Drosophila melanogaster: one gene and its partner. The gene in region 2 interacts genetically with the main gene of each other region. Each region holds a gene or a part of one and is shown on either strand. Other genes may lie near its edges.

Region 1 (5,738 bases), on a different chromosome or scaffold from region 2:
CACTTCCTCTTGTTGAGCTCACTTGCACGTGATTGCTGGCCGATGCGGGTGGGGGGCTCCTAGCCACTGCCATTCGGTATCCGATTTACGGAAAAGAAGTCCGTGCAGGACTTCGCCACATCGGGGCATCCGTGTGGCTTTTGTTCGGAATGGGGTCGTCAGGGGGCACTTGCAGGCGCCTGACTTTCAGATGGAGGCCGAATGCTTCGCATAGCTCTTCTGTTTTCTGTTTTCCGGCTGGATTGCGTGTAAACATCTGCGGGCACAAAGGAACTCTTCCACGTTCGACATTTATGCGAAAGTGAATTTCTAATGCTTTCGGTTTCCAAGGCACATTATGGTTTAAAAGCCCTCTGCTCCGTAACTGGAATTTTTAAGGCTTGAGAAAATGTGTTTGCTGTAATCTCCCATGAATTATGTAAGCTGATTCGACTGTTGACTTGTCCCCGATTTCAGAATGTGCAAATCGGTTAGGCTACAGACAGCGCTCTTTATGGTGAATTACATTTAGAACGCTTTACTTTACTGTGCAATCGCATTGATTAATGCCTGGTCTAAATAACCAATAGCTATTAGTTTATAGGAAAATATAAGTCATCAAAGAACAATCACTTTCAATGATGTAGTGCTCCAAAAGAAAACGGCTTTCAGAAAACAGGATGGATAAGTAGTAATCTAGCAATATTGCAAATGGGTTGTTTTAAAGGAATCTGAAATGGTTACTAACCCTAGTGATAAGCATAAAGCTAATCAAATATAGGCAAATATTGTTTTTACCAATAAATTATTCTTTAATTTAATTTATAGTCAAACTATAAGTTCAAAAGGGTGTTTGGTAATAATACTATACATTTTTAAAAGTATTGATAACTACCCCACTGCTCAATGATATCGCAACCGCAGCAAAGTGCCTGTATAAGGAACTGTAATATCTAATTAAGTCAGATCTGAAGCAACTTCCGTACATCTGTAAGATACGATCTATCCATACATACATACATACATATGTGTGCCATCCCGTTTGCGTTTCGGGTTATTACTTGGGTAATCGTATATGGGCCACATATCTCCTTCCCTGTCGCTCTGCTCGATGCACTGCGGCTAACCACGTTTTGTAATAAGCGTAATTCTATATAGTCACGTCGAGCAGTAAGTCGACAGTCGGCCAAGACAGCGGCCAATCCGCCAGATTGATGTGTCGCCCACTTAATGCCGAGCGACTCTTTTGGGACAAGTTGATGCGGCAAATCCTCAGCTTAAAGGAAGCCCGCCAAGTGCGGCGGAGCACGTTCTGGGTTGCTTGGAGAGGTCAGGTCCAGATATGGACACTGGGCGCCCTGCTCCACTGGTTGTGCCGGATGATTGGGTGCTCGTCATCGTAGCATCACGGCATCATGGCATTATGCATTACCTCGATCCAAATTATAGAGCCCAGTGATTCCGGAGCAGGGCTAACCAGCCGGACAACTGGCGTCGATTATGGCGGGCCACCGGACACTGGCCAATCTTTGTCCGGGGATTGCTTGATAAGCGGGTGCCAGCCGTCCAATCGGCCCATTCAAAGGCCCACCGGCTCTTCTCACGCTCATTTCGCAAGCGATTTGGAGGCGGCAACCAGTGTTGGTAAGCACCTGGCCAGCTATAGCGATTTTCGTAACTGTAATGCTAAACCTCTCACCACAAAAGGGGATGGTGCGGGGGCGGGACCAACGGGGCGAATACAAAATTTATAAAAGCCTAGTCGTCGGCACTGGGGATTTTAGTGCGCGTTCGTTTAGTCTGGGCAACGGTTGCTTAAAAAAAAAAAGCTCGAGGATCGTGCAGGATCAGGACTGGAAATCAAGCTGGAGCAAATGGAATCTGTGTAGAATCGCTAGGGATCAACAGCGTCAGTTGAAAATATGCCCAACGTGGACGAGCAGCGGGGAAAAGCAGCTACAAAGAGAGCGGAATCGGAGCAATCGGAGGAAAAGGGTGACCGCCAGGAGGGGGACGGGGATCCGAAAGACGAGTCTGAGGAGGCCACCGCGAAGATCAAGGGCCGTTCCCGATTCACTGCGGCTCTGCGAAGCCTCTCGAAGACCAAAACCAAAAGGGAAAGGGAGCTGGATAAAAGCACCGACAGGGAAACACGCAGCGCGGAGGAAGAGGCTCAGGAAACCCCAGGCGAGCTCGAAGACGTGGCCAGCTCCATCTCCACGGACAGTGGAGCCCTCGGCAAGACCAAGAAAAAGAGCCTGACGCGCCGCCTGCTTCTTGGAGGCCTGAGAAAAAGTGGGAAAACGCCGAAGGGGCGGCCCCACAGCTTGGCGACCAGCGACGACATCAGCGTGGAGCACCTGGAAACAACACCCCTGCCATCGCCACCCGGTTCGCCCACCTCCGCCGGCAGCAGCACGCTGCAGATCACCATCAGTGGCAAGAAGGTGGAGCCATCGCCCGCCAAGAAGAGCGGCAAGAGCAGACCCAAGAGCGACACGGATTATCTGACACCCGCCGCAGAAGAAAGGAAACCGAGAAAGAAAACCACTACCACCACCGTGACCACGAGAGATACGAGCAGCAGCACCCGCACCACCAAGCTGCTGGTGTCGAAGAAGAAGCCCCAGAGCCCCGAGAGAGAGTCCCCATCGGCGTCGCCGTCGCCGCTTATCACCACCACCGAGAGCACGCGCGATACGCCGCCCAGAGAACGGGCGCCAGCAAAACCAAGTCGCGTTCAGTCAGCCAGCGGCACCGGAGCTGTTCGCAAGTCCCAATCCTCGAGCGCATCCAGCAGGAAGCTGGAATTGATGCAGCAGCAGCAGCAGCGCGGCCACCGCCTCAACGCCAGACCACTGGCTGAACTAGCGAACACGGAACCCCAGCCATCAGGGCAGCAATCCCTGGACCCATCCACATCCCCTCCGGCGGCTGAGGACGGAGTCTCCTCGGCGGAAAGCGCCCAGACTATTGCTAATCCCCCGCCCGTTGTCCGCTTTGAAGTGGGCAGTGCAGTCAGGAGTCCCTTGAGTGCCTACGAAGCCGCATTGGCCGCCGCCGCCAGTCAACAGCCCAACTCCAACGAAGAGCTCAGCGACTCCAGCATCCGGCGTCTCAGCTTCGCTCAGCAGCAGCTCATCCTCGGCGACCACGACAGCATCGAGGGCAGGCGGGAAACACTGCACTATCAGTCGGTGGCTAGTGAATACTCCAACCAGGACTCCGGATCCGAGGACGATAGCGAGGAGCAGGCGGATACCACAGAGCCAGAGAACGCCAAGCCCATGCCGGCCTTCGGTGACCTGACCATGGATCAGGAAATGGAACCGGTAAGGTCTCGTCGTCGTCGGATTGCCAATTCGCCAGTTGTCATTTACCTACGAAGAAGCGAAGAAGCCCCACAAGTGATATGTTGGCCCCCTTATAGTGTGTGTTCCAGAGTGTCATTCAACTGTGCGGGCGGCGGGCGGTGGTAATAGCCCAGGGGGTCTCGTCAACTAACCAGCAAATCTCAGTGCGGATTGACGAGCAGCAGAAGGTGTAACTAATACCAGGCTTAGAATTTATTAAAGTGGTGAATTCTCACTTCCTATATTATATATTGATATGCTTTTATATAACTGAGTGTAAACGTGCTATGATAGAACAAACTTTACTACTTATTATAATTCGAAATGCACGGATTATTTATATTTGTATCTTGAAACCCAGAGCCCAAAAGTATGTATCTCTTTATCTTGAGATTTCAAGTCACAAGTGGGATTTCATTGTTTAGTGTATCAAATTTATCAAACTATTCTATTAAGCATGGATCGAACATACAAGTAACTCTCATCCAATCCTTGCTTGCAGGCCATCATGACATCCACCAGCGATAAGCGCGAGCATCTGTACAAGATTCTAGTCATTGGTGAACTGGGCACCGGCAAGACGTCCTTCATTAAGCGCTATGTGCACCAGTTCTTCAGCCAGAACTACAGGGCCACCATCGGCGTGGACTTCGCCCTGAAAGTGCTGCAGTGGGACGCCAATACGATAGTGCGCCTCCAGCTGTGGGATATCGCCGGTCAGGAGAGGTTTGGCAACATGACCCGTGTCTACTACAAGGAGGCGGTGGGCGCGTTCATCGTTTTTGATGTGACTCGCAGTGGGACTTTCGATTGCGTGAGCAAGTGGAAGGAAGATCTAGACTCCAAGGTGCAGCTGCCGGACGGCAGTCCCATTCCGTGCATCCTGCTGGCCAATAAAGTAAGTGATTGCCTAAAGGTTAAAGGAGACCGCATAATTTCTATATTATGTGATTAATACGTTGCTCATCCGTTTTCCAGTGCGACCAGGAAAAGCAGGGCATCATAACGCAGCCCGAGAAGATGGATGAGTATGTGAGGGAGAACGGATTTGCCGGTTGGTTTGAGACATCCGCCAAGGAGAATATCAACATCGATGAGGCAGCTCGTGCCCTCGTGAATAAGGTGATAATCGCTGCTAATGCCCAGCCAAAGCCCCGCTAATCTTCTTCCACTCGCCCGACAGATACTCATCAACGATAAGCTGATATCTGCCGATCTGGCCGATGGCGACAAGTTCAACTTGAGCGCGGCCGATGCAACCGGATCGGATGCCAAGAACAAGTGTTCCTGCTGACCTGGGACCGAGGTCCGGCGACTCCTATTCCCATTCCCAGTTTAAGAGCGAGTTTCAACACAGAAACGCCATGTGCCTACGTCCACTCCATGTTCATGTTGTTAGAAGATAGCGATAACTATGCTTAGGGTTTTAACGTAACATTTGTCTAAGACTTAGTGTCATCCGTATCATCCCGTCCGTCTTTATCTTTAACACCCCGTCTGTGGGTCCACAATGTTGCGCCGGCATCGGGATCCGTGTCACTTTGAGAATTTATATGGTGACACATAACATACCTACGCATACGAAACATTATTACTATCACCATCATTGCCCTAGTTGCGAGGATTAGCCGGAGGTAGTGCAGCATCCGTATCATAGCATACTACATTTGTGTAAAATGCGAATCGTCTTATTGTTTTGTTTGTTTTATTTGCCTCTGCTGGCGAGATTGTTTTATCTTGGAATTATTATTCTCGTATGCAAACACACTCTGCCATCATTATTTGTATTTAGATAACAATACGTACGCTTAATGCAATGCGAAATCAGAAATAAAGTTTTTAATGGTAGTTAAGTTCAGACGACGTGTTTTATTGGCTGAATAAATTCTGTGTAAGTGCTTTTGTGATACAATGAAAATGTTATGCTACTAGTATTTGCCTTCATTGAATCACTGGTCTTTGTAAATAAATACGAATAAAAGCTTTGTTTTTACATTTCCTTTTTTAACGGTAAAAAATCGTATCCCCAACCGGCAATGTTTTTCTTTTTTTTTAATATTCAAACTATCGATAGTTATCAACTATGGTATTCCTTATTGTTTAGTGATCACATATTAAACTTAAAAATAATGATATACAGATAAAAGTGTCGTGCGTTCATATTCTACATAAAATTATTAGCAATTATTTAATCGTTATGAAAAGCGAAACGTATAAACTGGTAATTGGTATGGGAAAAATTGGGAAAAAGCTGGAATCAGGTTTAATTGCAATTTGGTTTTATAAAATGTTTTATGGCACAAACAAACATCCTGACTCAAAAGTGAATTAAGCTTGAAACTTAAATACTCCGAGAATACCGTGAATATGCGTTTACCAATTGCTGCTGAACGGGACCACTATCGA
Region 2 (4,652 bases):
TTCATAAGTCCGTTCTAACACTTGGATCTGCATATTTATTTGTATTTGTGACAAAAATATCGACTTGTACGCATAAATAAATAAATTAAATAAATAAATTATTGAATGAAAATGTATAATTTTAAATAGTAAAACACAAGTCGAAGAAAGTTTTGATTTTTTAACGATGGGGAGAGATCTGTATTATAAAAATCAAGTTGTGCTTTTGGTTTTAGGCCAACAAAAGTCTATAATTCAAAACATATGTAGATATCCTAAATTATTTGAAAGTCTTTCGCATTGCACTCGTAAATTTTTTGTGGATACATTTACTCGAACTTAGCTAAGGTGTGGTAAAAAAGCTAATAAGGATAAGGTAGGTGGAAATGAAAAGGATTGACTAAGCTGAATTCAAGAATGCATTAAAAATGGCTTGTAAAAAATTCGACAAAAAATCCTTCGAGCCGGATTTGAACCAGCGACCTATGGATTTCTATTGCATGTTTTCCAACTACAGTCCACCGCTCTACCAACTGAGCTATCGAAGGGGGCGTGCTGGGGAGTAGGTTAAACAACGGGTATCCGATTCATCGCGACTCTTCAATAAACTTTTGTTGGTAATCGGTTTAATTAATGCGTATTTTAGCTTTTAATGGATTGAGGTCACGGACAGCATATGCCATGTCGTTCAAATACCTTTTCTTTTGATTGTTGCTAAGCTAAAATTAAATAATATATTGATGTACGCGTAAAGTAAGACATGTTCATTTTCACGTGTTTTTAAAATTGATATTCTTCAAATTATTATTCATTTTATATAACATTGTGTTTATAAAATGTCTTTTGCATCTACATGTTTATAATTGCATACTATTTTATATATTTTTTATGGGGTACGGGTGCTACTATAAAAACAAAAACGAATTGGATATTACAAAAAATTACAAAAAATCCTTCGAGCCGGATTTGAACCAGCGACCTATGGATTTCTATTGCATAATTTTCCAACTACAGTCCACCGCTCTACCAACTGAGCTATCGAAGGTTGAGTTCAAACTTGGCCGTTGTTCGTTTTATGCATGCGCACAAACGAAATGCACCGTATTTGGTTATTTATTTTTGATTTTTACTTATTTAGGTCAAACAAAATTGATCAACTTTCTCTATTCAGTCCATTGCAGTAAGCCTATAGTTTCCAAGCCTAATAGCCTAGGCGCTTTTCACAAACTATATCAATTTAGTTACGGTTTATTTCTTCCAAATAAAATCCTTCTTATATTATTTAGTTTAAACAGCTCAGTTATATTCTGAATGTCTGTAGATGAATTAAATTGATTTAAATTGTGCACTACAAAATATATAAAAAAAAAGGTATGTGCACTACAAAATATATAAAAAAAAGGTATTTATATCTTTTCGATCCTTCGAGCCGGATTTGAACCAGCGACCTATGGATTTCTATTGCATGTTTTTCCAACTACAGTCCACCGCTCTACCAACTGAGCTATCGAAGGTTAAATTCGCTTGCGGCTAATTCACCTTTTGTTCAGGAGCGAGGTGGGGAAAGTGACAAAAAGAGAGGGCACTTCTCTTAAACACCGCTGCTCTTTAATACTCGCGGCCAGAAAAATAGGACCTTAAATTCTTGTAAACTTATATTAAATACTAAAGCATTGTAAATCTTAATGAGAAAATATTCAGGTACAACTGTTCATGGCTTAATTTTAGACCAAAATTGTGCATGAATTTAGAAAGGCAGCAATGCACTATTTGAAACTAACTAGTTACCCACCCACAGCTGTGCACCGATAAAGGGGTGGTGTGCGAGCAAAGATGCCATATTTATACATATATCCATCTCGTTCCAGCGCCGACGATAGACGATACCGATACTTTGCGAGTCCGCTCCCAAGATTGAGCCCCCACAGCGTAAAAGCGACCGAAGTGCCGGCGACGAGAGCAGTTCGTTCCCAGAAGCCGGCAGCAGTGGTCCGTTGATAACTCCGACTCGAGCTACTTATCCACCACGTCGATACTCTTGTCTGTCTATTGCAAACATAGAGGAGTCACCCTTTGGCTAACGAATCCGAAACTCCCGAGTTTTGTTGTGCAACATATCAAAAACCGCATTTGTTCGGATCCAATTTACATTCGCATTTCAAAGATGTCGTACCACAAGCCCGAAGCTAAGACCGTCCAGGATCTGAAAGATCTGGCCCAGAAACTGCGAATTCACTCTATCAACGCCACCCAGGCCTCCAAATCGGGGTAAGTTTATCAATAACTGAAAGTCCATAGGCATATTAAAGTGTGCGTATTTAGATTTGTTTGTGTAGATGTGAATTTTAAAAGTTGTGCACCTTGCACTTGTTGCTTCAAAGGTGACCCCCTCCATTTCCAGGGTGGGTGCGAAAAAGTTTTTGAGGGGGCTGCTAAATACATACATACATATGTATGTGTTTTGAAACATTACAAAAGAAAATAAAACAAAAATAGTTACGCATATACATAGTTATGCATCTATGTTTGTATGAATGTGAGAAGTAAAATATGGGAAGACCGGTTCCTTTAGTGACCCCTCCTGGGATTCAGTTGCCAACCCACGTGTTGTCCAGTAGCTTTAGTGAATTTGCGAATTTGTTGCCCTGCCTGCGTGCTCAGTGATAAGCCGCGTTCACCTACCTTAAATTGTGAGCTAATATTTTTTGACCTTAGACAACCTTGAAACGTTAGGTTTTTCTTACTGCCTTTTAATTTCTTTTGCTTTTGTTTTGTGCGTGGCGTTCAAAACGCCGAAAGCACATACATATGTACATGGGGTAAAAACAAACATACTTACATATCAAACAGAGGCATTTAATATACGTATGTACATATGTACATACAAGTGTTGGAAAGCACAGCTTGTGACGGGAGTGGAATTGGAAAGAGAGGGATGAGAATAGTAATGGAATGATCCCCTACACTTGAGATTTACGACTGTATGGCTTTTAATGTAATTATATCTCGGATAGACGCGATCAAATTATTACTGCAACAGTAAATAAAAAAGTTACTATGCTGATAAGGAAAACACTTTTATCGCCTCCATTAGTTTTTCCATTCTGTTTCGTTTTTTTTTTTTTTTGTGACGGTTCAAGATAAGATCTGCTCTGTTTGCTCTAAATGTGACCTCTGCCGACGAGATAAGCCCGGTTTGGTTACTCATTGACCACGATATGACCGATTAGAGGTGACCAGCTCAAGTGTGTTCCCCGCATGATAATCGAAAATCACTGAAAACTGATAAAAAAAAAAAAAGCGCGCCGGGTCACTGCTAACACTCCGTATCACCTTCAATAGTTCTTGATATGGCTGCAGGAAACGGGGACGCACTTCGGAACTATCTAGAAGCACGTGCGTTCACAAAGATCGCCATGCAACACAATCGTGGAAGCCAAGAATTTGGTTTTTAAGGCTATTATTTAGGTTTTTTGGTGATCAGAAAAGTTCAAGGTCCCAGAAACCGGTGAGGAATTGCGATGGACTCACGTCGCGACAAACACACATATCACACCATATAACGCCAATAAATACATATGCATGTACTCGTTATAGTTTATTTATATGTCTGGGGTAAGACGAGCCCCCCATTTTGTCTGGGGTTGCGTGTTTTCTTTGCGGTTGGAGTTGTGCCAGATCTGCGATTCAAAGCAATTTTTTTTGGAACACGATCGCATGGGAACATTGAATTCCAAGAATGGATCTTATCTTATTTATATGTACATTGCAATTGGATACTCGAGAAATCTTCATTTGAAATATGAACAGAGGGGGGGGGGGGGGTTTAAATAAAAGCTTCAATAGACAAATGGATTTCTTTTATTAAACAACGTTTTTAACAAGTATGCACAGTGTTCAGTTCCACTTTTCCTTTGTTGATCGGCCTTCACTTACCCACCGTGAGGTCGACTTCTATAATTCATTAGGCACTTACCTTAACCTAGAACTACATGCAAACGAAATGCCTTGTCACAATCTAATATTTTGCCTACTTTTCCCTCTTTATAGCCATCCCACATCATGTGCCTCGATCGCTGAGATCATGTCCGTGCTGTTCTTCCAGCAGCTGCGCCTGAACCTGAAGCACCCACGCGATCCCTCCAGCGATCGCTTCATCCTGTCCAAAGGACACGCTGCTCCCATTCTGTATGCCGCCTGGGCTGAGGCTGGTCTCTTCCCCATCGCGGATCTGAACAACCTGCGCAAGATCGACAGCGATCTGGAGGGTCACCCGACGCCTCGTCTGAACTTCATCGATGTGGGCACTGGATCCCTGGGACAGGGTGTCGCCGTCGGCGCTGGCATGGCCTATGTGGGCAAGAACTTCGACAAGGCCGACTACCGCACCTACGTGGTGGTGGGTGATGGTGAGTCCGCCGAGGGTTCCATCTGGGAGTCGCTGCACTTTGCCGGCCACTATAAACTGGACAACCTTTGCGTGATCTTTGATGTGAACCGCTTGGGCCAGTCGGAGGCCACCTCCCTGCAGCATAAGCTGGATGTTTACCGTGATCGTCTGGAGGCCTTCGGCTTTAATGCCGTCGTTGTCGATGGTCATGATGTCGAGGAATTGAGCAAGGCTTTCCATTGTGCTGCAATCACCAAGAACAAGCCCACCGCCATCATTGCAA

The links. Genes that interact genetically often act in the same process or in processes that back each other up.
Region 1: of p (region 2) and Rab32, changing one enhances a phenotype caused by changing the other (phenotypic enhancement), as found in Drosophila melanogaster (one study listed by BioGRID).

What each region holds. Positions count from the first base shown.
Region 1 is NT_033778.4:9,177,322-9,183,059, reverse strand, and holds Rab32 (Rab32), read left to right. Parts: upstream 1-1,761; 5' UTR 1,762-1,901; coding exon 1,902-3,311; intron 3,312-3,713; exon of another isoform or gene 3,714-3,834; coding exon 3,835-4,230; intron 4,231-4,310; coding exon 4,311-4,454; intron 4,455-4,515; coding exon 4,516-4,626; 3' UTR 4,627-5,196; downstream 5,197-5,738.
Region 2 is NT_033777.3:8,667,682-8,672,333, forward strand, and holds the start of p (pink), read right to left. Parts: upstream 3,004-4,652; 5' UTR 2,819-3,003; intron 2,248-2,818; coding exon of another isoform or gene 2,144-2,247; exon of another isoform or gene 1,848-2,143; intron 1,494-1,847; exon of another isoform or gene 1,400-1,493; intron 1,025-1,399; exon of another isoform or gene 931-1,024; intron 528-930; exon of another isoform or gene 435-527; intron 356-434; exon of another isoform or gene 187-355; intron 92-186; exon of another isoform or gene 1-91. Other genes in the region: CG8036 (uncharacterized protein), read left to right, coding at 2,144-2,247, 4,030-4,652. UniProt on the Drosophila melanogaster protein: Has a role in the biogenesis of eye pigment granules. Eye pigment granules are specialized forms of late endosomes or lysosomes. Biogenesis of pigment granules in the eye requires molecular components required for protein delivery to lysosomes.